Linked DNA regions of Drosophila melanogaster. The protein of the gene in region 1 interacts with the protein of each later gene in a pairwise test. Each region holds a gene or a part of one and is shown on either strand. Other genes may lie near its edges. The genes, in order: CstF64 and su(f).

What was found.
Region 2: the proteins of CstF64 (region 1) and su(f) interact in a two-hybrid assay, tested with the Drosophila melanogaster proteins (2 studies listed by BioGRID).

The regions. Positions count from the first base shown.
Region 1 is NT_033777.3:18,655,071-18,666,152, reverse strand, and holds CstF64 (cleavage stimulation factor 64 kD subunit), read right to left. Parts: upstream 6,536-11,082; 5' UTR 6,449-6,535; coding exon 6,312-6,448; intron 6,249-6,311; coding exon 5,126-6,248; 3' UTR 5,027-5,125; downstream 1-5,026. Other genes in the region: CG31231 (uncharacterized protein), read right to left, coding at 1-699; Gos28 (golgi SNARE, 28 kDa), read right to left, coding at 983-1,085, 1,156-1,544, 2,086-2,270, 2,336-2,357; Cpsf73 (cleavage and polyadenylation specificity factor 73), read left to right, coding at 2,698-2,765, 2,822-2,983, 3,046-4,337, 4,399-4,841, 4,905-4,994; CG31224 (uncharacterized protein), read left to right, coding at 9,170-9,988, 10,205-11,082.
Region 2 is NC_004354.4:23,092,262-23,105,923, reverse strand, and holds su(f) (suppressor of forked), read right to left. Parts: upstream 8,516-13,662; 5' UTR 8,229-8,515; coding exon 8,193-8,228; intron 8,132-8,192; coding exon 7,809-8,131; intron 7,645-7,808; coding exon 7,369-7,644; intron 7,311-7,368; coding exon 6,911-7,310; intron 6,707-6,910; coding exon 6,515-6,706; intron 6,450-6,514; coding exon 6,036-6,449; intron 5,980-6,035; coding exon 5,872-5,979; intron 5,423-5,871; coding exon 5,122-5,422; intron 5,065-5,121; coding exon 4,817-5,064; 3' UTR 4,493-4,816; downstream 1-4,492. Other genes in the region: CG17159 (uncharacterized protein), read left to right, coding at 13,402-13,662. UniProt on the Drosophila melanogaster protein: Essential protein, may play a role in mRNA production or stability.

The DNA.
Region 1 (11,082 bases):
ATCATCTGTGTCCGCCTTGGTGTCGGATTTGTCCTGAGCGCTTAACTCCGGTTCAGGTTCTGGTTCCGGCTCCGGATCGAGTGATATATCCGATATGCTTGGCAAACTTTCAAATCCGCGGATAAACTCACTCTTTATGGACACTCCCAGCCTGGGCAAGGGCTCATCAAAGCTGCCTTCCGAATCGAGATCCTCTTCGATTTCCTCTTCGACGACAACGCTTGGGGGCTTTTCGTTAAGGATGGCCTTTATATCTTCGAAGTCATCTTCGGAATCCTCTCCGCCCGATTCCACGGAATGAAGTTCCTCCTTGTCCTCGTCTTCCGGCATCTCCTCAGATTCTATTGGAGCTTTAGCCAACGCAGCCTTCGCAGCCTCTTCCTCGTCTTTTTTGGCAAGCCTTTCCTTAATTCTCTGGAGCTTTTCGCGCTTTCGTTCGTCGGCGGTAGCAAGACCCTTGTGTTTAGCTCCAGACTCCTCCCCTTCCTTTGAGGCTTCGTCATCCTCGGCTGGCAACACCGTTTCGCCTTCTCCTTCTATTTGATCTACGTTAGCTGTCTCACCTTGGATTTCTGCACCCTCCGCCGCTTCCGCGATCGTTACTAGTTTGGGAGCATCCTCCGCGGCTGGAATCTCCGCGGGTGGAATCTCCTCGGCATTGTCTATGGGGGCAGCCTCTTCTGGTGCATTTTCAGCCATCTCTGTGCAATTGAAGTCGTTTCAATAACGTAAATGTTTTAAATGTTTTGGGTTTCTTTTTGGTATATACATAAGTTGTTATGTTTGCTGTTTGCCTAAAATTATTAACTGCTGCTTGAGATTAGAATCAATGGCTGTTGGGTTTTGTCTTATATAGTACATTTTATTGCTATCACAAGTTAATCATACACATATACCGTCGGAAAAAACAAACTAAAATTCAATTGTCTGTAATGGAGTTTAATGCAAGCTCTATCTTTGGCCAAATCGCGGTGGCGGGTCACTAGTTGAAGGCGTAGAGCAGCAGCAAGATCACACAGAAGCCAATAACTGCTCCCAGGATCAGCGAATCGCGTCGCTTTTTAATGTTGATGCGCTGAATGAGACTGTGCATATACAACAAATAATTGGATAAGTAAATATGCATAAATTGAATTGAGAACTCGTCTGTCTCACCTGGAAATCAGTGGGAATCGATTGGAGATATCGTTAAAGCGGGTCTGCAGCCGCTTGAATGCTTGTCGCTGGGCGTGAAGATGGTCACGCGTCTCAATCGCGATATTTATCTGATCGTTGACCAAGTGACTGGCGCTGTTGAGGTGCCCGCTCTCCTTCAGGTACATTTCTCGCCGGTTTAGGCCCGAGATGGATGGACTGCCGGAGCTGGTGGCCAACCCTGAGCCACGAAGCAGCTCCTCTCGCTCGATTCGCATTGTGTGATTGGCGCAGATCTTATTGAACTCCTGGCGATACCCCTGCAGGATCTCTCGATGCCTCTGCAGTGTGTGCATGGCGGCTGCTCCAGAGGCGGGCAAATCGGACATGGACTCATTTAGCGAGGATAGCTGCAATTAAGAAGGATGAAATAGAAATGAAATCCTTCTATTCTATAGAAATTCTATAGATATGGGAATTGCCTAAAAAACGTAGATAACTTAACAAGCAAAACAATTTGAACATTTTGTGCTTCAGTCGGTGACTCATTCATTACTTGGAATTATCTATTAAAGTATTTATCAAATGGAATTCATTTAGCGAATTCAAAGAGGAATTCTTAAACATTTTCTTTTAAAGAATTTAGCAAAGATCAGAGCATAAAAAAAACTCGAATAATAAAGTATAATATATATACAGATTCATAAAAAATTGGAAAGTGATGGAATGTTTTCAATATATATAAGTTAATCGTGGCAGTTTTTCAATTGTGTGCTCAATTCTGCCAATTAAATTATGATTTTTGGGAAGGCTTAGTGGGAAATTAGTAATTCATAGTAGCACAAAGCCGGTGGCACAGAAATTTGCTTAATAAATAAATAAGGAATCCGCACTACATTGTTTCGGGTTTAATCCCTGCACCATCGCATGGCATTGGGTCACATATCGCACCTTCTCCAGCATTTGCTCGATCTCCTCCGACAGCGAATCGAAGACGTGCTCGCCCAGGAGCGGCGATGTGTCAACGCCTCCTAGTCCTCCACTTCCACCTCCTCCACTGCCAGCTCCGATTTTGCTGAATGCCACCAGCTTCAGGTCGATCTCGTTTTCCAGGCTCCGCGCCTGCTTCCTGAGCACTGTGCGGGAGGTCGAGAGGAGAGATAGCTTATATGGAAGGTAACCATTAAGTCCCACTGCTCACCATCGTAGCTGGATCCTCCCATTTGTCAAAAATAGTTTTCCTTTATTTGTTCGACTTTCGTGTGGCAATCGGTGTGACCAGGTCAGGCGGGGCCCAAGTGGAATGAGTTGAGAGTATCGGGAAAGATTAATAGCCAGATTTAATCTAGGCCCTACTTAATGAACAAATGTTTACGAGAAAATTAAATTGTCCTAATAACTTAATGTTAATGTAAAAGGAAAAAGTACAATGTTCTTTTCCAGCCCTTGTGTGAACAGGTCCATACCGGCAGTCATCAAACTTTGGTCACACTGCCGTGCACAGCGTTTTGTTGCCGGCGATTTGTAAAAAAGTTTGTTATTGATTACATTATTTTAGACATCATGACGCAGGCAACAGGTGATGCACGCATGCCAGACGAGGAAAGCGACCTGCTGCAGATCAAGCCACTGTAAGGAATCTTGATTTAAACCAGATAGAAGCTCAAGGGTAACGCTTATATTTCAGTGGTGCTGGCCAGGAAGTGGGACGCTCCTGCATCATGTTGGAATTTAAGGGCAAGAAGATAATGCTGGACTGCGGAATCCATCCGGGATTGTCCGGCATGGATGCCCTGCCCTACGTAGATCTAATAGAGGCGGATGAGATTGATCTGCTGTTTATATCACAGTAAGTACTGCGGCGATTAAATGGGCATTGAACTTTTAATGGTGAATGCTTATATTTATCAGTTTCCACTTGGATCACTGCGGTGCCTTGCCTTGGTTTCTCATGAAGACCAGCTTTAAAGGCCGCTGCTTTATGACCCATGCCACGAAAGCCATTTACCGATGGATGCTGTCCGATTACATCAAGATCAGTAACATATCCACCGAACAGATGCTATACACGGAAGCCGATCTGGAGGCCTCCATGGAGAAGATCGAGACGATCAATTTCCACGAGGAGCGCGATGTGATGGGCGTACGCTTTTGTGCCTATATTGCTGGTCATGTTTTGGGTGCCGCCATGTTCATGATCGAGATTGCTGGCATCAAGATCTTGTATACTGGTGACTTTTCGCGCCAGGAGGATCGACATTTGATGGCTGCCGAAGTGCCACCGATGAAGCCGGATGTTCTTATCACAGAGTCCACCTACGGCACTCACATTCACGAGAAAAGAGAGGATCGAGAGAATCGATTTACCTCGCTGGTGCAGAAAATTGTTCAGCAAGGCGGGAGATGCTTAATTCCAGTATTTGCTTTGGGCCGTGCCCAAGAACTGCTACTTATTCTGGATGAATTCTGGTCGCAGAACCCGGATCTGCACGAGATTCCCATCTACTATGCCTCCTCTTTGGCCAAGAAGTGCATGGCTGTCTACCAGACGTACATCAATGCTATGAACGATCGAATTCGACGACAGATAGCTGTGAACAATCCCTTCGTTTTCCGCCACATTTCCAACCTGAAGGGTATCGATCACTTCGAGGATATCGGACCCTGCGTAATCATGGCGTCGCCGGGTATGATGCAGTCGGGATTGTCGCGAGAGCTCTTCGAGAGCTGGTGCACAGATCCCAAGAACGGAGTGATTATAGCCGGTTACTGCGTGGAGGGCACTTTGGCCAAAGCCGTTCTCTCCGAGCCGGAGGAGATCACCACACTGTCGGGCCAGAAGCTGCCGCTCAACATGTCCGTCGACTACATATCGTTTTCGGCTCACACGGACTACCAGCAGACCAGTGAATTCATCCGCCTACTAAAGCCAACGCATGTCGTGCTCGTCCACGGCGAGCAGAACGAGATGTCGCGTCTGAAGTTGGCCCTGCAGCGGGAATACGAAGCAGATGCAAGCACGGATATAAAATTCTACAACCCGCGAAACACACATGCCGTGGATCTTTATTTCCGTGGCGAGAAAACCGCCAAGGTGATGGGAAGCCTCGCAGCCAAGAACTCGGAGGTGGGAAGCAAACTCTCAGGTGTTCTGGTTAAGCGCGACTTTAAGTACCACCTCTTGGCTCCTTCTGATCTGGGCAGTAAGTAATAGTTAGTTAGTTTCTTTGTAAAAATGTCGATTCATTTAAATAATTCCCACAGAATACACGGATATGAGCATGTCTGTTGTAACCCAACGCCAGTCGATTCCCTGGGGCAGCTCGCTGAGCACTCTAGAGCTACTGCTGGATCGCATTGGAGCCGGATGCGTTGAGGTGCTGGAGGCGGAGCGAAAGCTGCGCGTGTTCGGCTGCATCGAGCTAACTGTGGAGCAGAAAATCATTGTGATGGAGTGGCAAGCGACGCATGTGAATGATGTGTACGCCGATGCCGTTCTTGCCTGCATCATGCAATCGGAGTTGGGCGGAACAAATCTGAAGGGTGCCACAAAGCAAACCAAGTCAGAGGACTCGCGCTTTCGGGAGTGCCTAATCGAGACGCTACAGGACACCTTCGGCGACAACTGCGTGCCAAAAATGTTCGAGGGCGATCTGCTGCCAGTGACGGTGAGCGGTAAACGTGCGGAAATAAATCTGGAAACCCTGGTGAGTGTTCGTCGAAGGTGCTTTTTAAAATCGAAAAATATCGTTAATCTACAATCTTTCCAGGCCATCAGCTGTGCCGAGGATGATGTGCTGCGACAAATGCTCAATACGACGGTTCAGAAGTTACACCAGACCCTAGTCTCCGCTCTTTGAAAACCATTCTATTCCGCTTAATAAATCTCCTTGTGTTGAAATGTTCTTTTTATTAATTGATTCAATGTTGAAAGTACTATAGTATGCATGAGCGAAATGGTGATTTTTCATTTGTTTCAGCCAGAGTAGTTTCAGCGCTGGGTACTCTTCGCAATCTGCTCTTTGAGCATGACAATACTGACCCGTTGCTCGGAGGGCAGCTGCGCAATCTGTTCGTCGGACAGCTGCAGTACCTGCATGATGAGGGCAGCCTTCTCCTGGTCGGAGGCATCCGAGGGCAGGACTCCATGGGCGCCTAGTCTGCTCTGCAACTGCTGAGCGGCCGCCTGCTGTTGTTGTGTCGGTGGCGGCGCTTGGGGGATTCCTTGTGGCGGCGCCTGCTGCTGAGGACCAGGTCCTGCCCTTAACCTGGGATCCATGGGACGCTGGCGCGGATCGCTGGGATAGGGGGCCGGTGGCGCCTGCGGAACGCCCTGCTGCTGCTGTGGGGGCATCTGGGCACGAGCTCGGGGATCCATCAGCGGCGGTGGCACTGGATTGGGTAGAGAAGCTCGCAAATCCTGGTCCATGCCACGGCCCATCATCCTGGGATCCATCGGCATGGGTCCACCCGGCACCATGCGCAAATCGATATCGTTCGGATGGACATTGGCCGGGAAGCCAGGTCCGGGAACGGGCATTGGTGGCTGGGGAGCCTGTTGCTGTTGCTGCGGGATCTGCACCTGCTGTTGCGGAACCTGTTGCTGACCCATCATGGTGTGATTCCCCGGCCCCTGGTGCGGATTGCCGCCCAAGACGGGGGGCATTTGGTTGGCCTTGAAGAGCATCCCGAGCGCCTGCTGAGGGTCCACGATCCTCATAACCACCATGGCCTGGAGCAAAGCGTACGCCAACTGAGGATTGAGCATTAGCATCTGGCGTGCCTCCGATGGATTGCTCACGATGCAGAGCTTCATCTGCTTCATCAGCTCGTACATTTGCTCCGGCGGCAAGGAAGCCACCGTTTTGGTGATGAGCTCGGGAGCATCCTCTGGTTCGCAGGGCTCGCCATAGGGATTCTCCACCTGGGGTCCCTGAAGCAGCTGCTGCATCTCCATGCGCGACTTCTCCGTACACGCGTTGTCCACTCGCAGTGTTCTGCCGCCGATCTCATAGCCATTCAGATTCCGCATGGCACTTAAAGCCGTCTCCTGGTCCTTGTACTCGCAGAAGCCAAAGCCCTTGGGTTTGCCACTTTCCCGATCAAAGACCAGTCTGGGGGATTGAGAATAGGAGGTTTACAGTGAGATATTGCATGGCTCTAAGTAGGGAACTCACTTCAGTGACAAGACCGGGCCCACTTCGCTGAAAATCTCCTTTAGCTTCTCCTCGGTGGCCTCGTAGGGTATGTTCCCCACAAAAACCGACCGCATGGACTTGTCCATTATACTTTGTTCCTGCGCCTTATCTGCCATATCTGTTGTTTGTTATTATTTACTGCACAAACTCGACAAAATCTTAGCAAACGTTGACAAACTTGTCTAAAAAATTCCCTGCGTTCCGGCTTGCTGTTTCTTCTTCTTCCTTGAATAATTTCCCTTACCAGGGATTCATACTTTTCATATACTTTTTGGGAAATAAAGCGGTATGGGACGCAAAATATTAAACAAAGTGTAATAACAGATACGCAAGCCATTTTATTTTATTTTCTTATCTAAACACCTGAGAAAATAATTAACAGTATTGGTCTAATTTTTGGGATTCTCATCCATTGCCATCACTTAGAAACGTAGTATTTAGCAAGAAAATAGCTAAATGCCCTGCTTAGCCAAAAATACCACCACTGCTAGTGCTGGTAAGTTCCCGCAGCCCGCATACGTTTTGCAGCACTCCAACGCCTGGTGTTGTAATTTTTCTTGTCGCAAGGTGAAAACGATTTAAACGGTTTTTGATAGTGAAAAGTGCACCAATATGCACGAATTGTACACCAAATTGTAGATGAAAGTGGCGTTTATTCGTTTTCTATGCGGCAATAGACAAAAAACGGCTCGAAGTGCATGAAAAACGTGCTTGAAAATATTACTTTGTGTGTAGCCACACGCACTCCAACACACACAAACGCACACACACACAGACAGAGGGAGATAAACGCAGCGATGGCCTCGCAGTCGCACTCGCACATATAAAAAGCTCGCTTGTATATTGGAAGAAGGAGCGCACAAAGCGGAAGACGAGAGGAAAGATTTCTGTGTCATTGAACGAGAAAAAGAAGAGAAGAGAGCCTCCTGGCTCCTGGTCCTCCTGTTCCAGTTCCTCCTCCAACTCCACTTCCTCTTCATCTTTAAGCGGCCGCAGGTGCACCACGCTCTTTACATTTCCAAGGATACGCTCTCAGCCGCTCTCTCTCTCGATCGATACTGGTAATTAGCTGGCGTCCTCTCTTTGTGGAAGTGTCATTCCATTCCATGGACGAAACGAAAACGAAATCGATGGCAATGGCTGGTGAACAAAAGCGGAAATATGTGCATTTTTAAATTGTGTGTGTCTGTAATTATGTGAATAATAATCAGCAGAAAAAAATCGTACAATAAGTGGCAAGATCAGCGACATTAACGCACACAAACAAGCGCGCGTGTGTGCACACTGGAAAAAAGGTTGGCTGGCGATTGTTGTCGCTGCAAACTGGGATACTGGAATAAATCATAATGCATTTACGCACCGTGTGCTCCTCAATTTTTCGACAGTCTGTGTGTGCATGTGTGCATGTGGGTGTTGTGTGTGCGTGGTGTGTGTAACCTTTGGCAAAGGAAAAATCAATAGCAACAGACGTAGACATTTGTTTGCCGCTGTTTATGTGCAGCCCTCGCATTGTCCTTCGCCCCCAAAACAAAGAGCCACCCTTGCAGAGATGGCCAAATCCCAAAAAAGAAACAAGTGAATGTTGGTCTGCAGACAGACTATAAATAAAAGCAAAAGTTATCGCAAAAGGCAAGCAGCAAAAGGCAAACCAGATGAACGGCCAATAACTCGTCAGCAGGCTGGGTCTGGGTCGTTGCCTCTTTTTTTCCGATTCTGATTCCGTTTCTTCCTGCTGCTCTGGCTCCCCGAGAGAAAAAAGCTGCTCCAGAAGTTGTCTCACCCATCTGCAACCGGCATTCCAATCCGCCATTTCCATTGCCCAAACAGGACCTTCTAATCAGAATTCTTATGTTGCTCTACTCAGAGAATGTGGTTAATATGAACGGATTCGAATATAAGACATGGCTTTACTAAATCAATAGAATCGATTTAAAATGGCACCTCTGATTTCGAAAATGTGGAATCGACTTTAAGGGTGACTGTGTTGAGGTTGGGTCTGCTTTGTGCTAGAAAAGTTTATTGACTCTTGTTCTCTCATTTTGATCCTTTGCGATCCTCAATTATTAAATATGCCTTGTATGTTTAATTGTACTTATTTGGTAGCTTTCTAAAGAACAAAATAATTACTGGTAAACCAAAATCATTATAATCATCATATTAGAAATGCACTCGCTGTTGAAACAATTTTATTTTTATCATGCTTTTATTTTGTTGGCTTTTAAAGAAATTACTCACTACAAGAAACTTCCAACGAACGTTTTTTTACTGATTATTTGTGCTACCCCCGATAGTAAAACATTTGTGGTTTTAATTGAGTTACTTTCAACAGTTAGGATGCACGATGTGCGAAGGGTTCTTCCAGTCCAAATCACCTTTCTATAAGAAAAGTAGGGTTTATTATTAAATTATCAGCTTTATAAATTTGGATTGGTTTTGTAAAAAGACGCGTTTGTTAAGATTAAACATTACGCATTCCGTGGATACTTGATCACTTGGATCGCCGGACGGCGCATTCTTCGCATATCGGGTATCGTTTCACCGAAGACGTTGATATCGGAGCGCAGAATGTGCCCAGGGACTGGTACAGTAATTTCTGGCACCAACATTCTGACATTCTTTATATTCTCCAATGCAGCTCACCCGCGTCGAATCAGAGGATTGAGCAAGATGGACGCCAAGCCAAGGAGATACGCTGTTTTATGACTCTGAAGGGCAACCACGCCAGTCATCCGTCGCACTAGAAAGCTAGAAGCCAGGCTCCCAGAGAGCAGGAGCAGCCAGTGAGCAGGAGTAGGAGTAGGCAGGAGCCACACATAGAACAATCTAAAATCGTCATCATGGTCGACAACAGTGTCCAATGCCCCGTGTGCACATTGTACCTGCATGCGGGCATGAATCTCTCCGATCACTTGGAGACCCATCCCAAGGAGCAGGTGATCAAGGCGCTGGTGCAGATGACGATCGTTGGGAACGGTGGCAACAGCATGGGCAGCGTTCTCGCTGCCGCCATGTTGACAGGAGGATCTGGAGGAGGTGGATCCAGCGGCGGCGAAGCCAGTGCTGATGAGAAACCGGCCGTCTTATCACCCCCTTCTGGCGGCGATGTCAAACCAGTCGTGGTCAATACCATATCAGCAGCAACAGCGCCTGTGCTGCCACCAGCACCACCACCGCTATCCTCCTCCCTCGTGGCGGCCTGCTCCAACGGAGCCGCCTCTTCGACAACCAGCTCCACACCCACCTCCACCTCAGCAAGCAACAGCAGCAGCCTCAGCAGCAGCAAACCGAGCAATCCACCGATGAAAGCACTGAAATGCTCACCGCCCACAACTGAGGCGCGAGCCAGCACATCCGCACATCCCACCACGAGCAGCGTGTCCACTTTGTACCAGCCAGCGCAGGTCACTCCGGATTATCGCTTCAACCAGCAGCAGCAGCAGCCGCAGACGTCGGGCTTTGGGCGTGGTGTCACCACCTCAACAGCCGCGCTGGTGATTCCGCAGGTGCCTCAGCAGCACTTCCTCGCCAGCCATCAACAGCAGGCTCACTTTCCACACCAGCAGCAGTCCCCGCAGCAACAGCAGCAACATTCGCAGCATCAGCCTGCTCTGAAGTTCAGCTACGCCACAGCTTTGCCCCCACCTCCGCCGTTGCAGGTGAGTCCGAGTCCCAGAAGTTATTTGTCCCGTCTTAAAGGGTGCAATCAAGATTTAATGCAGTACACCTTTGAAAAGAAAGGGGTAATATTATTTACGAAAAGTATTAAGAAACAAAATTAAAATGTATACCCACTGTACCCTTTATGCTTATATAAATTTAGTATTTATTTTCGAATTGAATTCCGTTCTTAAGCAACTCGAATTTCTTTACAGCTATTTACGCAGCAACAGCAGCAGCAACAGCAGACGGTTGTTCCACCGCAGACCCAGCAGCAATCGCACCAGAAACCACCTCCCGCCTATGGAGCCGCCATTAGTCAAATACGATCTCAGCACAACCAAAACAAACAGCAGCCACAGTCCCAAAGCGTGGCCATGCAACCCAACCTAGCCCTGGCACCAACGACGACATCAGCGGCTTCAACTTCACACGCAACTGCAGCTGTTAAGCAGCCCAGTAAACCTCATACGGAAGTATTCCTGAATCCCCCACCACCGCCATCGGCACAGCAACAGTTGCAGATCCACAGTTTAGTGCAAAATCAAGGTCAACACCATCAGCATTCTCACCCGCAGCAGTCGCAGCCGAGCCAGCAGAGTCACCAACAGCCACCGAGCTTGCAGACCTACGGATTAGGGGTCAGCAATAGCTGCAGTTCCTCCAACAACCCCTCGACCTCGGGATCTGGTCATCGTGCGAATCGTCAGACAAACTCACCGTTTGGAGCACTGCTTAATGCTGCAGCGGCAGTGGCCTGCGCATCGCCGGCCTGTCCCACCACCTCATCTTCGGTATTGAGGTTTGCAGAATCACCGGTGGCACACTACCTTGAGCGGGAAAATGGTGACTTCATTGTCCAGGAGACACCGAAGCATATTGTAGAGTGTGTGGAGAAGGAAGACGGCGAGTTTTCCGTGATCGAACGCATTTATCAATCCCCGCCGAGTGTTCTGCACATACACGATGATGATGAGGATGACGAGGATGAAGAGGAGGAGGACGAGCATGATGCTCCGCCCGAGGAAGAAGACGGGGACGATGAGCGGGAGGAGAACAGCCACAGCCGTAATATGAGCAAGACAACGAAAAA
Region 2 (13,662 bases), on another chromosome or scaffold:
CAGTGGTCCATAAAAAAAACTTTAATTAGGAATTATATTTACAAACGATAAAACGCATGTGAAGCTTTGGGAAAAAATCTTAAAAAACATTGGTTTCCTCAACAGGACACTCAAAAAAAGCGTTAGACATTGGAAGAACCAAAATACTTTTATAGCATTTTAAATATCTTCTATCGATATATCGATAAGGTAAAAACTTCTAAATAAAAGTCCAGAATCGCGAATTTTCTATCGATATTAAATAACTGTTGTATGGAATCTTTAAGCCTTTTACAATTTTAAAAATGTTGTGAAGTACCAAAAATGATTTTCATGCCCTCGTATGGTGGAGGCGTATATTAAATTCCTTGAAAAGTATTTAACAGGTAAAAGGAAGCGTTACCGACCCTTTAATGTATATACATATATTCTTGATCAGGAAAACTAGTAGAGTCGAACTGGACTTGTCCGTATCAATGTTTTGCTGTTTGAATAGCTCCATCTTTCTCGCATTTTCATTATCAGAATGAAGAGTTCTCCCTTACTCCTGAAAGGGTCAGTCGGTTATTTAGTTAGAACACAAGCATTATGTTAATAATTTTTTAAATAACGTACTACATAGTGTGTCCTGATTATTGTTAAGCATTGATTTAATGTGCTTTGATTACGAACTAATCGATGTTTTTTAATTTTCCGTTATGTGTATAAATGAATTTATGTATGAATATATAACAATACCGAAATATATTTGAATACAATCTTTTTTTTGGAAAAATCAATTATTATTCAATAATATTGAAGTCACTAGGAATCGTTCATTTCCTTCTGAAATTACCTTAATGCGTAGCTTAAAAGATAATATTATGGATTTTGTTATACAAATGTACAGTGGAGAAAATACAATCCAAAAGCAAAAGTATTGAGTACTTGTTATTGAAAAAATGTAAGTAACGCAAGACAGACACTTTTAAAATGATACCCTACCCGAAAACACATATGTATATTCATATGTGGCTATGTAAAATGTGAAATATATGTATATATGTATGTGTATTTACATAACTACATACTTAGGTATGTGCGATATATTTTCACATTTTGTTTTGTCTTTGCATTTCCCTACGTACAGACCGATAGACTGGCATGGATAGATCGACTCGGCTATTGATCCTGATCAAGAATATATATATATTATATGGTCGAAAACGCTTCCTTCCGCCGGTTCATACTTCTCAACGAATCTAGTATACCCTTTTACTCTGCGAGTAACGGGTAATATATGCCCCCAAACCTCACCTCCCTGAAACACCAATCTTTCTAAAATCGACACAACACACAATAAGTTCAACAAAAACAACACGACCCCAAAATTGATAAGGAAAATATTAAATAATAAGCAAACTAACGATCTTTCCTAGACCTACATTTACACAGATGGATCTCAAACAAACAAAATTACCAGCTTCGCTATTAACTACGAAATTTAACTTATCAAACGGCACATCATACTAGCCATTATTGAGGCCCTAAGAACTCATAAAAATAAAAGAGCAAAATTCTGCATTATTAAGAACACCAGGAAATGAACTCGCTGACAGCCAAGCAAGAACCGCAACAAGCCATCCACTTACAACTATTGAAAACTTTAACACACAGGACATACTTAAATATATAAATAAATGTATATAACCAACATCTCGAGGACATCAAATTGGCATCAAACATCAAGCCAAAATCATCTTAACAGCTACCATTCTTTTGCTTGGACTAGAAAAAGCATACGAAATTAGAGAAATACCTATACAAAATTAGTTAATTAAATATAAGAGGCGGTGCCACGGCCACAATTTTTGGTATCATAAAAGATAATGGCAAAAAAATTTAAATATCTTTATCCGTTCTAGAGTTACAAACTACAACAAATATAAGGGGCGGTTTCAGAACGGATATATTGTAACCCAATCTGAATATCTTTCAACGTCCTGGAGTTATTCATTTTGGGCAGAAAAAGTGGTAAAATTTCACATAGTGGTACGTGGGCAAGTTTTGAAATATTCGCACACCCTAACGACGGCAAACCGCCCAAAAGGTTCACACCCACACTTTTGTGAAATGTTATAATTATTTTTCATTGCATTTTTTGATTTTTTGCTACTTTGTATCGCTTTGCCAAAATACCTCCACCATCTCATTCGAACGCCAACCAAATTTTTTAAATATGTTTAGACTTTTTTATTTGGTTATTATACCCGTTACTCGTAGAGTAACGTAGATTCGTTTAAAGGAATGTAACACGCAGAAGGAAGCGTTTCCGACTGTATAACGGATCAATAGCCGAGTCGATATAGCCATGTCCGTCTGTCCGTATGAACGTCGAGATCTCAGGAACTATAAAAGCTGGAAGGCGGAGATTTAGCATGCAGATTCTAGAGACAAAGACGCAGCGCAAGTTTGTTGATCCATGTTGCAACGCCCACAAGCCCACGAAAAAATGCCACGATCACTCTTTTGAAAAATATATTGATATTTTTTCACATCTTTATTAGTCTTGTAAATTCCGATCGATGTGCAAAAAAAAAACTGTTTGCCACACCCACTGTGACGCCCTTAAGCCGACAAACCGGTCACGCCCCACTTTTGAAAATTGTTGAAATTTTTTCTCATTTTATTCCCCAACATCTTTTGGTATCGCAGAAAAATATCTGGGTTAACGGGTATCTGATATTCAGGCAACTCGACTATAGCATTCTCTCTTGTTATTCTAAACAATTTTATGGATATGACAATCAAGTTTCAAAGTTTCTCCCTCGTTCTCCCCTTAGTTGAGTGGCGCTAGTGGAGAAAATCTATAGCGGTTCCTTTTGTTATTTTAACTTTTTTCCTAAACTAATTTTCCATAACAGAGATAAATTAGTTGGAAATTGTCAATATATTTCTAAATTAATTTGCTTTCTTTAAATATCAATTTATTTAATAGATAGAAAATTCATTTCGTCCTGTCTGTGTTACCAAAATATTTAGAACACTTAACAAAAATTCATATAACGTTCTGTTATATGAATTGCTGTTTGATTAACGAATGATTAAAACGTTTAAAACGTTACGTTTCGAAAATCAGAAAAAAGGAAAGAAATGCATACATTATCTTAACTTCAAAGCTTTTAAAGTTTTCGAGGTGACAGCGCCCTTACACGGGTATCTGATAGTCGGGGAACCCGACTATAGCATTCTCTCTCGTTTGTTGTTTAAATGGTAGTTAATGGGCTTTGCATTTTTCTATATTTGGTCTAGATCCTGAAGGCTGTGTTGATTTTGCAAAAAAAAAAAGACCATCGATTTTATCGTTTAATACAAATACAAACAGTCTCCAAGCTATAATTGTATCCTGAATTTTTGATAAGAATGCGTTTAGTGGGATAGGCCGGTCGGTATGAGTTAAGTATGGTTTTGAGAGCCAAAAACGGATACAGTACTAAGAAAACTATAATAGAGCGCATCTTATATTAGTTCATATTCTTCAGCGTCTTGGCATGCAATCGTTTTAGTTTTTGATACCTTTGGTATATGACTATTGGTTTCCTCACTTTTGAATATTTCTCACTGTGCATAAAGTAGTCGCCTTCGTCACTGCATTGAATACCACAGTTATAAAATGAAGATTAAACTTATTCTTATCGCAATTCAACGTCTTGCGACCCACCATGTACACTAGCGCTCGGAGCCTCGTCTCTAAAAACAGTCGCATGAACAATTGCTCAACATGGAGCTGTGCCGCGACTCCTGGCGTCGGATAACGAATGCCTAGAATACTTATTGAGGCCGAAGCTTCAGCGTGACAGATGGTTGGATCCGGAGGCATAAAGTACAAAACTAAACGATGAGGATGGCCTGCGGCAGAATCCAAACCTGGCCCCTATATGCCATATTTGTAGACTGAAGTTTTTACATCTTTACATTTACATTACATTTACATATACACGTTTGTAACAACTGCCCTAAGAAGTTTTTTAGCACGACGGCTTTGCGGGTCTATGAAAGAAGTCACACCAAGGAACTGCCCTACGTGTGCGAGCATTGCTCCCGAGTTAAATCAGCATGTTAAGCGACACAGAAACCAGCAATAGGTGCGACTAGGAGTTTTATACGGCCCACGCAAGGGACCGTTCCTTGCGTGCCCATCTTAATATTCGGGACAAGCTGTGTCCGTTCCCGGGAGTTTGTGGTGGGCTAGGCACTGCCCACGCCCATCTGACCCTCCATCGCTCCGAGAAGCGCGACTCATGCTGGCCCTGCGGAAAAAGTTTCGCCCAATATGCTGGACTTTATAAGCACCGTAGACGATGCTTACCAGCTGAGGTAATGGAGGAGTGCTTCCTAGGTCTACATTCTACTCTCTAACTTTAAATTATGCAGAAATTCATTGATATAAACATGTACCATTTATACCATTATATTGAGATTTTAATGTTTACGTATACAGATATACTATTGTGAGTTATGTATAACATTTTTTTGGCCTAAATTAAAAAATATTATGTAGTATCGAAAAATGCACTTTGTCTTGAATAGTTATTTACAACAAATGTACACTTAAAATGTTTAAATGGATGCAAAGGTTAGTGTGTACTTACATTAAGAAAAATATTACAAATTTAATGCTATCGTTCAATGCAACCCTAAATGTCTACAACCGGTGATGCCAAAGCATGAAGGCAAATTCCCAAGCAGCTTCCAACAAAACTAAACCTAATTAATATGGCTTGCTTTATTGGGATTTCTTGTTTCTTGTAAATTAATTGAAAGAAAAAAGTAAAAATCGGTTTTTTTTTAACGTTTCTTAATTAGACTTGGCGAAACGCTTTAGCTGACGCAGGCGATATATATCGTGGGAGGGCGGCACAGCGGTCTGCAGTTCGTCGTCACTATCATCGCCCCCAGGCAGCAGTCGTCGCCGGCGCGGTGGAACGGCCGTAACACTGTGCTGCACCCCCGTATACGTACTTGTATCCACGATCCAGTGAACCGACTTGGCCAGATCGAAGATCTTAGGCGACAATTCGTTGTCTCCATTCGGTTGCGGTGCAGCTGAGTAAGATAATTGTTCAATGTTAATTGAAGAGAATTTCAATCAGGGACACTCACAGTCCGGAAGATTGAGACGCATGAAAATGTCGAATAGTAGCTCTACGCTGACGAACGGTCCACGGAAGGAGTTCGGTGGAGGCAGGGTGGCGCACAAAGCGGCCAGAGCTGGCGGCTGCGGAAATACACCACCTGCAAGTGGATGGGCACCAGGATGAGCACATGGACGCGGCTTGAATGGAATCATCTGGGAGAAATCCGGACGTGGCAATGGTGGCGTTGCCTCGCTATCTGTTTCGACCTCTCCGGTGTTCTGGCTTTGAGCTCCACCACCCACCTTGTTCAGTATAATGCCCACATTCTGCAGAACGAGGTGATTAAAGTAAGACAAGTAATTAAAGACAAACATTTTGTGGACCCTATAAAAAGTATTGTGAAAAGTTTGATTGGCTATAAGAAGAAAAATGTCGTAATGAACACTTTTAAAACAGTCTGTGCTAAAAAATGTTTTTTAAAATTCAGTAAGTCTATATGCTATCTCTTTCTTCTTCGCACATATAAAATAAAATAGTCTTGCTCTTTCCTTTCCAATGAGTTCCTACAAACTGTCTCAAATGGGAAAAATTATGAATGAAATCAATTTTCAAAAAATGTATTCAGACATTAAACTGTTATGGCGATTACTACACGATCACATGTTATCGTTTGATGTAGTATAACAATAGAATCCAATTATTTCGCGGTTATGGATGCTAGTTTGTTTCTTCTTTCTTCTTATATTTTTATAAATAAATAAATTCCGTTACGCACCTCAGCATATCCTATGGACTTGAGCTCGGTGCTGGTGCAGGGGTAAAGGTCCAGAAATTTGTAACGGTCAACCAGCTGGGCGGTCTCCTTGCCCTCATACTCTTTAAGCTTTAAACAAATATTATTATAACATATTTCTAAAATAAAGTAGTAAAAGAACGCACGTTTTCGAAAACGGCACTACGGCGACGTTCGACCTTAACGATGCTGGAGAGATCCCCAATATTAGATTCGAACTCGAGGAAGCGATTCCAGACCTCAACACTCTTGTGCGGCGACAAACCACCTGAACTAAGTACCCGTTCAAACAGGACGCGCGTATTATTGTCCTCGTTTAGATGGGACAGGTAGTCAATGTAGCACATCACGTACTCTGGACTGCCACCAAAACGCTTCAATCCCAGCTCGAAGATGCGGAACGCAATTTCTTTGTCCTTGGAGCAATAATACTCCATTAAAGCAGCGGCCACGAAAATGTGATAGCGCGACCTTACGTCCTCCCGAGCTTTCTTAAATATGCTACGGGCCGACTTGATCCCCTCAGCACGACGGGCGAACTTCATGTACTGAACATAGACCTGGAGTATTAAATTTCGATGGTATCAAATATTTGATGAAACATATTCAATATGTGTGTTCCTACCAATGTGGGATCAATGTCTGGCAACTGTAACAGCTTGTTGTACATAGTGTGCACCTTCTCGTACTTGAGCCGTCCTTCTTCAAAGTCCGCATAGGCAAAATATAGCAACGCATTTCGGTTTAGCACGCCGTTTATAGACCGTTCCAGTATATTAGCACACTCGTCCGCAAAAATCTTGGCCGCCTGGACGTCCTGCAATGTTTTAATAAGTAATTAAACATGTAAATACACAAAAGTTCGACTTAGTTATAAGAGTAAAACGCGTGCGGCCTGGCCAGGGGCAACGGGGCAAGCCACGGAAAGCCATCTGTGTTGTGCCACTGCGTGCTCCTTTACCCGAGGGGCGACACTTCTTAGCAAACAAGAGACTATATTTGATTCGTTTTTGGTTTTGACCTTTGCCCACCACCAAGCAAAGGCCATAACCCACTCTATTTGATTCACTACAGGAACGCAGAGAATAGGTGAAATGTTTTCAACACTAGTACGCACGCCTTTTTCGGTGAGCACGCGAGCACTGGTGTCCAGGAATTGGGAGGCCTGGTGCCACACTGCCGGGTGGTGGGTGAGCACCAGCAAACATTGCTCCGTGGCGAACATGACACGACGGGTTACTAGGGCCGTATCTTCAGTGCGCAAGGGATTAGACTTCTCATACGTGATAAAGCGCTTCCACAGCTCCACTTGCTTCACCTCCTCTTTTGTGAGTGTGGGTGGGACGGCTGGCAGATTGCGATTGAGACCCTTTGTGTGGTATTCCAACTCTTTGGCAACACGACGAGCGTTCATGTAATCCCTGGTTTTAAGTTGGAATTTAGAAAGAACATTTAGCAAACTCTGCGTATAACACTCACTTAGATCGCTCCAGACTCATCTTCTCTGATATAATCGGGTTTATGTTTTGCTCGAATGCGATATAGTCCTTCCACAACTGCTCGATGCCCACGATAGGTGTGACTACAGCCTTTTGATAGACGCGGCGCACTGCTGTGATCTTTTGGTTCTCTGCATAGTTGCCCACTGCTTCAACGCCCCGCAGAAAGTATATGTAATCCTGCCAGATGCTGAACGAGTGTAGATCCATGCCGATTTTCTCCAGTGCAAAATCATAAGCCTGGGCCATTTTTTCTCTGAGAAAAGAGATAAGTCCAATAAAATAAGCGTGTCAGAATAACACAAATGTTGTGCATCAAAAAAAACAATATGCTCGCTGCATTGCAAGTTTTGACTAAAATTATAATAGTTTCTAAGATGTCAAATTATGTGAATTATTTAAATAAGGTATAACAGTTACTTGTGAGTACTTAGACCCGACTTGGTTTCCTTCACGTAGGTAAGATAGAGCTTCCAGAGGTCGATGTTCAAAATCTTGACTAGGCAGCGTTGAAAAAGTTTCTCCACGCGTTCATAGTACCGGCTGCGCATCTCCATCTCAATGTATAGCTTCCAGTACCGAGCGGTTGTCGGAAACACATTAACTAGCGACTCGTAAAGACTGCGTACTTCGTGGATTGGCCGCGTTTGGGCCTCTCGGATCATGACACTCCAGGACTCGATGTCATAGGGCCGCAGCTCCACCACTTGCTGAGCTCGCACCAGGCGCTCCATGCCCCATTCCTTGTCATCGATAAGTAAAAATATGTTGTTACCATCCAAATAAAGCCAATGTTTTACTTACTATGTCGACTTTGATAAGGTCTCTGGCCGAAGACATTGCTAATAGTCTTTGCAAATTGTCGTTGAGTCCTGCTTGCGCTGCTCCTTGGCCCGGGAAAGTTCCTTTCTTCCGTTGAACTTTCGCTACGCAATTACCTAAAGCAACGCTTGGATGCCGCTTTTCCGAATTCTTTTAGAAGTTGCAATGCGGCTGCTTAGATATCGACGACTGATTGGATGTAACTGCGATAGTGTCATCGCCAATCACATCGCGGGCCTTACCATTAAAATCCCAAGATTTGGGATGTGTAGTACAGCGGTCACTGATTATAAACTATAAATAAAAAAGATATATGGTTTTAACATACTTTAAAGGTACTAAATCTGTAAATAATGAATTCAAGCAGAAGCAATATTTTTTATAGCTTGTTTCCACTGAAACATTTTTCTGTACGTTGCTAAGGTGAAGGTTGTTAACAGATACTTTGAACCGTTTAAGTTCTATGTAATAGTAAGTAAAAGAGGTAATATTTAATAAAAAGGCATTTTTAGGAAGCCTGGAATTGTATGCCTAGTAGCGTAACTAGGTACGAATTTTTCCTGATTACCCTATAACATTATACATTAAAACAATATAACATAATATGAGGTAAAGGTATTCTTGGTATTGTGGTATTCGAACAAACATAACTATGAAAACACACGAAAACATTATAATTTAAGTCAATGGATTGTTCTTAAATGTTTTAGACACGAGTCCAAGTGATAACAAAATTCAACAAGGTTAACGGAACTTATTTTTTGCTATAAGAAATAGAAAGTGAAACGCACCTTTCTTCAGCAACTGTAGTGTTAAATTGTTTTAAGAATTTACTTACAGAGAAATGTTTTATTGAAATTTAATTTTTTCTTTTGTTGTTTCTTTTTCATGTTGAGGGTTCAACATTCCCACAATTTAACAGTTTAAGGAATACCCAGAATCTAACCCTAGAAATAGATTGGTATATTTATCGATATTAATTCAGTACCAGTATGCGGTCACATTGGGTAAGTGTCAAAAAAGTTTTAAAACAAACGCTAAACAATCAGGAGTGGCAATCAAACGAAACCAAGCGCATTTATTAGCCGAGAGATAATTCGAGTTAAATTCGCAACTAGTATTAGTATCATTCATTGAAACCGATTTATTAAACTGCCAAGGTAGACAAGACACACACACATGTGCGTGTTTCCGGAGAGCATCACAATCATTGCAGACCTAGAGGCCAACAGCTGTTGTTGATGTCCTAGCGGTATATTTACGGTTTATAGACTTCGACAAGTTAGTGAAATTATTACCGTTCCTGGGTCACTCTCCCTTACCTAATACCTCTGTGGGTGTGTGTGCTAAGGCGCAATAAGTGTGTCACACTGACGCGGTTTTGTGTTTCAAAGTAGAACAAACACTGTGTGTGTGTATCCCTCACATATGCATTAGCTTTGTCTCTGTTATATTGGCCAATGTTTATTCCTGCATACCAGAAATAAATAAACAAAGAAATCATTCTCTAAGCTGTGTTGCAAGCACAAAAAAAATTTTGTCTGCAACGATAAGTTTTTCCCTTGATACAAATATTTATATATCTTTTGAGCCATAGCGTTTTTTCATTCTGCAAAATTAGTTTTATTCAATGTGGTTTGTATTATGTGTTTTTGACTATCAAAACTATCAAAAAATCGTGTATTAAGGGGACTTTATACCGTAAAAATGTATGTTGTCTTACTAAAATATTTTTGTTATAAAAACTTAACTTTCAAAAGGGATTTAAAGCGAATGCAACAAAACTCATTCATGAAATATACCTTATTTTGTAGCTTATTTAATTCTTGTTTAGATAGTTGTAATTAAAAAGTGCATTCTTTGCGATTTTCGGAGAAATTATAGTTTTTAGGTCCTTACCCTACTTGTTCAAATGCAGAGTAATTTTAGCTAAAAGGGAGTTAAAAATGCCTGTTGGTGAATTGATTCATTAATTTGTTATTATGTTTGTGTTTACTTTTTTGTAAAATAATTCAATATGCAACCACTACCACGAAATCAGTTGTTCTTTGCTTGGACTAGAAAAAGCATACGAAATTAGGGAAATACCTATACAAAATTAGTTAATTAAATATAAGAGGCGGTGCCACGGCCACAATTTTTGGTATCATAAAAGATAATGGCAAAAAAATTTAAATATCTTTATCCGTTCTAGAGTTACAAACTACAACAAATATAAGGGGCGGTTTCAGAACGGATATATTGTAACCCAATCTGAATATCTTTCAACGTCCTGGAGTTATTCATTTTGGGCAGAAAAAGTGGTAAAATTTCACATAGTGGTACGTGGGCAAGTTTTGAAATATTCGCACACCCTAACGACGGCAAACCGCCCAAAAGGTTCACACCCACACTTTTGTGAAATGTTATAATTATTTTTCATTGCATTTTTTGATTTTTTGCTACTTTGTATCGCTTTGCCAAAATACCTCCACCATCTCATTCGAACGCCAACCAAATTTTTTAAATATGTTTAGACTTTTTTATTTGGTTATTATACCCGTTACTCGTAGAGTAACGTAGATTCGTTTAAAGGAATGTAACACGCAGAAGGAAGCGTTTCCGACTGTATAACGGATCAATAGCCGAGTCGATATAGCCATGTCCGTCTGTCCGTATGAACGTCGAGATCTCAGGAACTATAAAAGCTGGAAGGCGGAGATTTAGCATGCAGATTCTAGAGACAAAGACGCAGCGCAAGTTTGTTGATCCATGTTGCAACGCCCACAAGCCCACGAAAAAATGCCACAAGCACTCTTTTGAAAAATATATTGATATTTTTTCACATCTTTATTAGTCTTGTAAATTCCGATCGATGTGCAAAAAAAAACTGTTTGCCACACCCACTGTGACGCCCTTAAGCCGACAAACCGGTCACGCCCCACTTTTGAAAATTGTTGAAATTTTTTCTCATTTTATTCCCCAACATCTTTTGGTATCGCAGAAAAATATCTGGGTTAACGGGTATCTGATATTCAGGCAACTCGACTATAGCATTCTCTCTTGTTATTCTAAACAATTTTATGGATATGACAATCAAGTTTCAAAGTTTCTCCCTCGTTCTCCCCTTAGTTGAGTGGCGCTAGTGGAGAAAATCTATAGCGGTTCCTTTTGTTATTTTAACTTTTTTCCTAAACTAATTTTCCATAACAGAGATAAATTAGTTGGAAATTGTCAATATATTTCTAAATTAATTTGCTTTCTTTAAATATCAATTTATTTAATAGATAGAAAATTCATTTCGTCCTGTCTGTGTTACCAAAATATTTAGAACACTTAACAAAAATTCATATAACGTTCTGTTATATGAATTGCTGTTTGATTAACGAATGATTAAAACGTTTAAAACGTTACGTTTCGAAAATCAGAAAAAAGGAAAGAAATGCATACATTATCTTAACTTCAAAGCTTTTAAAGTTTTCGAGGTGACAGCCCCCTTACGGACAGACAGACTTTACCATATCAATTCGGCTAGTGATCCTAATCAGGAATATTGTACATATATATGTATATGTATACCGCATTAAAAGAGCATACAAAAAATTTCTGAATTCTACGACATCGAAATACAAAATACAAAGATAAAAAATACTTGTAGAGTAAAAGGGTATAGTTGATTCGTTGGAAAGTATGTAACAGGTAGAATAAAGCGTTTATAGCTTCAGTTTCAGGAACTATAAAAGCTAGAATGTTGAGATTAACCATTACCACTCTAACGCCCACAAACCGCCCAAAACTAAAAAAATTTGTTTCATGGTTTTATAAGTCTTGTACATATCTACCAATTCGCAAAAAAAAATTTTGGCACGCACACTCTACCGCCCACAAACCACCCAAAACTGTCACGCCTACATTGGAATAATTTTTAAATTAGTTTCCATTTTATTATTTTGGTTTCCAATTTCTGCCGATATTCTAAAAGACATATTGAAATATGTCGTTCCACCTGAGTAACGATAGCTGGGGAACTCGACTATCGCATTCTCTATTGTTTATAACTCATTTTATGGAAATTATAATGATAATCGTCATCAGAAATTTGTTCTGATTTTTTCCTGTTACCGTCGGTTAACTCAACTTGTTTTTGTTTGTTAGTTTATCGGGCCAAAAACCGATTCGTTCAAGCTACTTTTCAGCCATCTTGTATAACCGGTTATGATACGAATTTTCTTTATAATTATGTGGTGCATTTTTTTAAAATAATCCCTGGGACATCGTTAGATAGTGTCTTTCGACGGCTTGCGAGTTCTTGCTCCTAGATTGTATAACTCTGGACCTATCCAACAACTCTACTAACGATTTTTGACATAGTTCGTTCTGTCTCGTTTATTCTGTCTTGTTTATCGTGAGTCGAGATGTCCAAATTGGACAAAATTGGCTTGTAAAAGAGGTGTTGGTGTATGCAAAAGTTGGTGTTTGCAGTTACAATGGTTAACGACATGAACGTTAGTAATTTTTCTATCAAGGGTGGACCACGCCCACTAAGCCTAAGTGTGTTTGGATTGTTGGGTGTGGGTGTGGAAGTAAAAGAGGGCACTAAATGTGAGAGTAGATATAGTTGGCTGTGTTCGTCGGGATCTTTTCAATTTAATTTGTCTACCCTGAATTTTTTTTCACGGAGCAGTAATTTAGTGATTATCGTTTTTTTCAGTCGGGTCATTCGGGGGGAACCGTACTAAAGAGTCTACTTTGTTTACTGCAAAATTCATTATTATTAATGATATGATTAAAATGAAGTTTTTTATTTATAATCGAACACAATTTTTTGTGTACCAAAATTATTTTAGTGGTTATACATATTTAAATGATTTTTTTGAGGGTATTAATAGATACAGTTTAGCAACCCAACAATTCAGCCTTTCGTTACTTTTTCAACTCCAATCCGATGTCAAACAAACAAAAATAAATCGCGAGCTGACGTGATAACAAATAACCGCAAACTGCTGTTGCTAACAGAAATTGTATTATTCGGTTGTTCAATAAATGTTCAGTCAAATTCGGATACATTAGGCGAGGAGGAGAAGCCATCAATCAGTCAACCTACGCAGTTTACATTGTTGGATCCGACGAGCAAGTTGGCTTGAAGCGCGCTAAGCGGTCTAATATCCCGTCTGTTGGCTTGATGCCGTAAAATTTTCCAAGGGCCTGAGGCATGTGCTCCTCTGTCGGCCTGGTTGTGGAAGGCATTGCGCTGGGCAGTGGAAGCCAGTATTTTTCACGGATGACCATGAAAAGAGAGTACAATACAAAGTGTTTTTGGATGGATCGCTTTTGTCACGAAGTAGCTAACCACTATAGGGAGCAGCAGCAGCTTGGACCTGGATGTGTATCCCGAAATGCAAGCCATCGGCGACGAAAGAGGATACCCTCGGTGAAAAAATCTCGGGAGCCTGCATTATTAGCGTCAGGATAT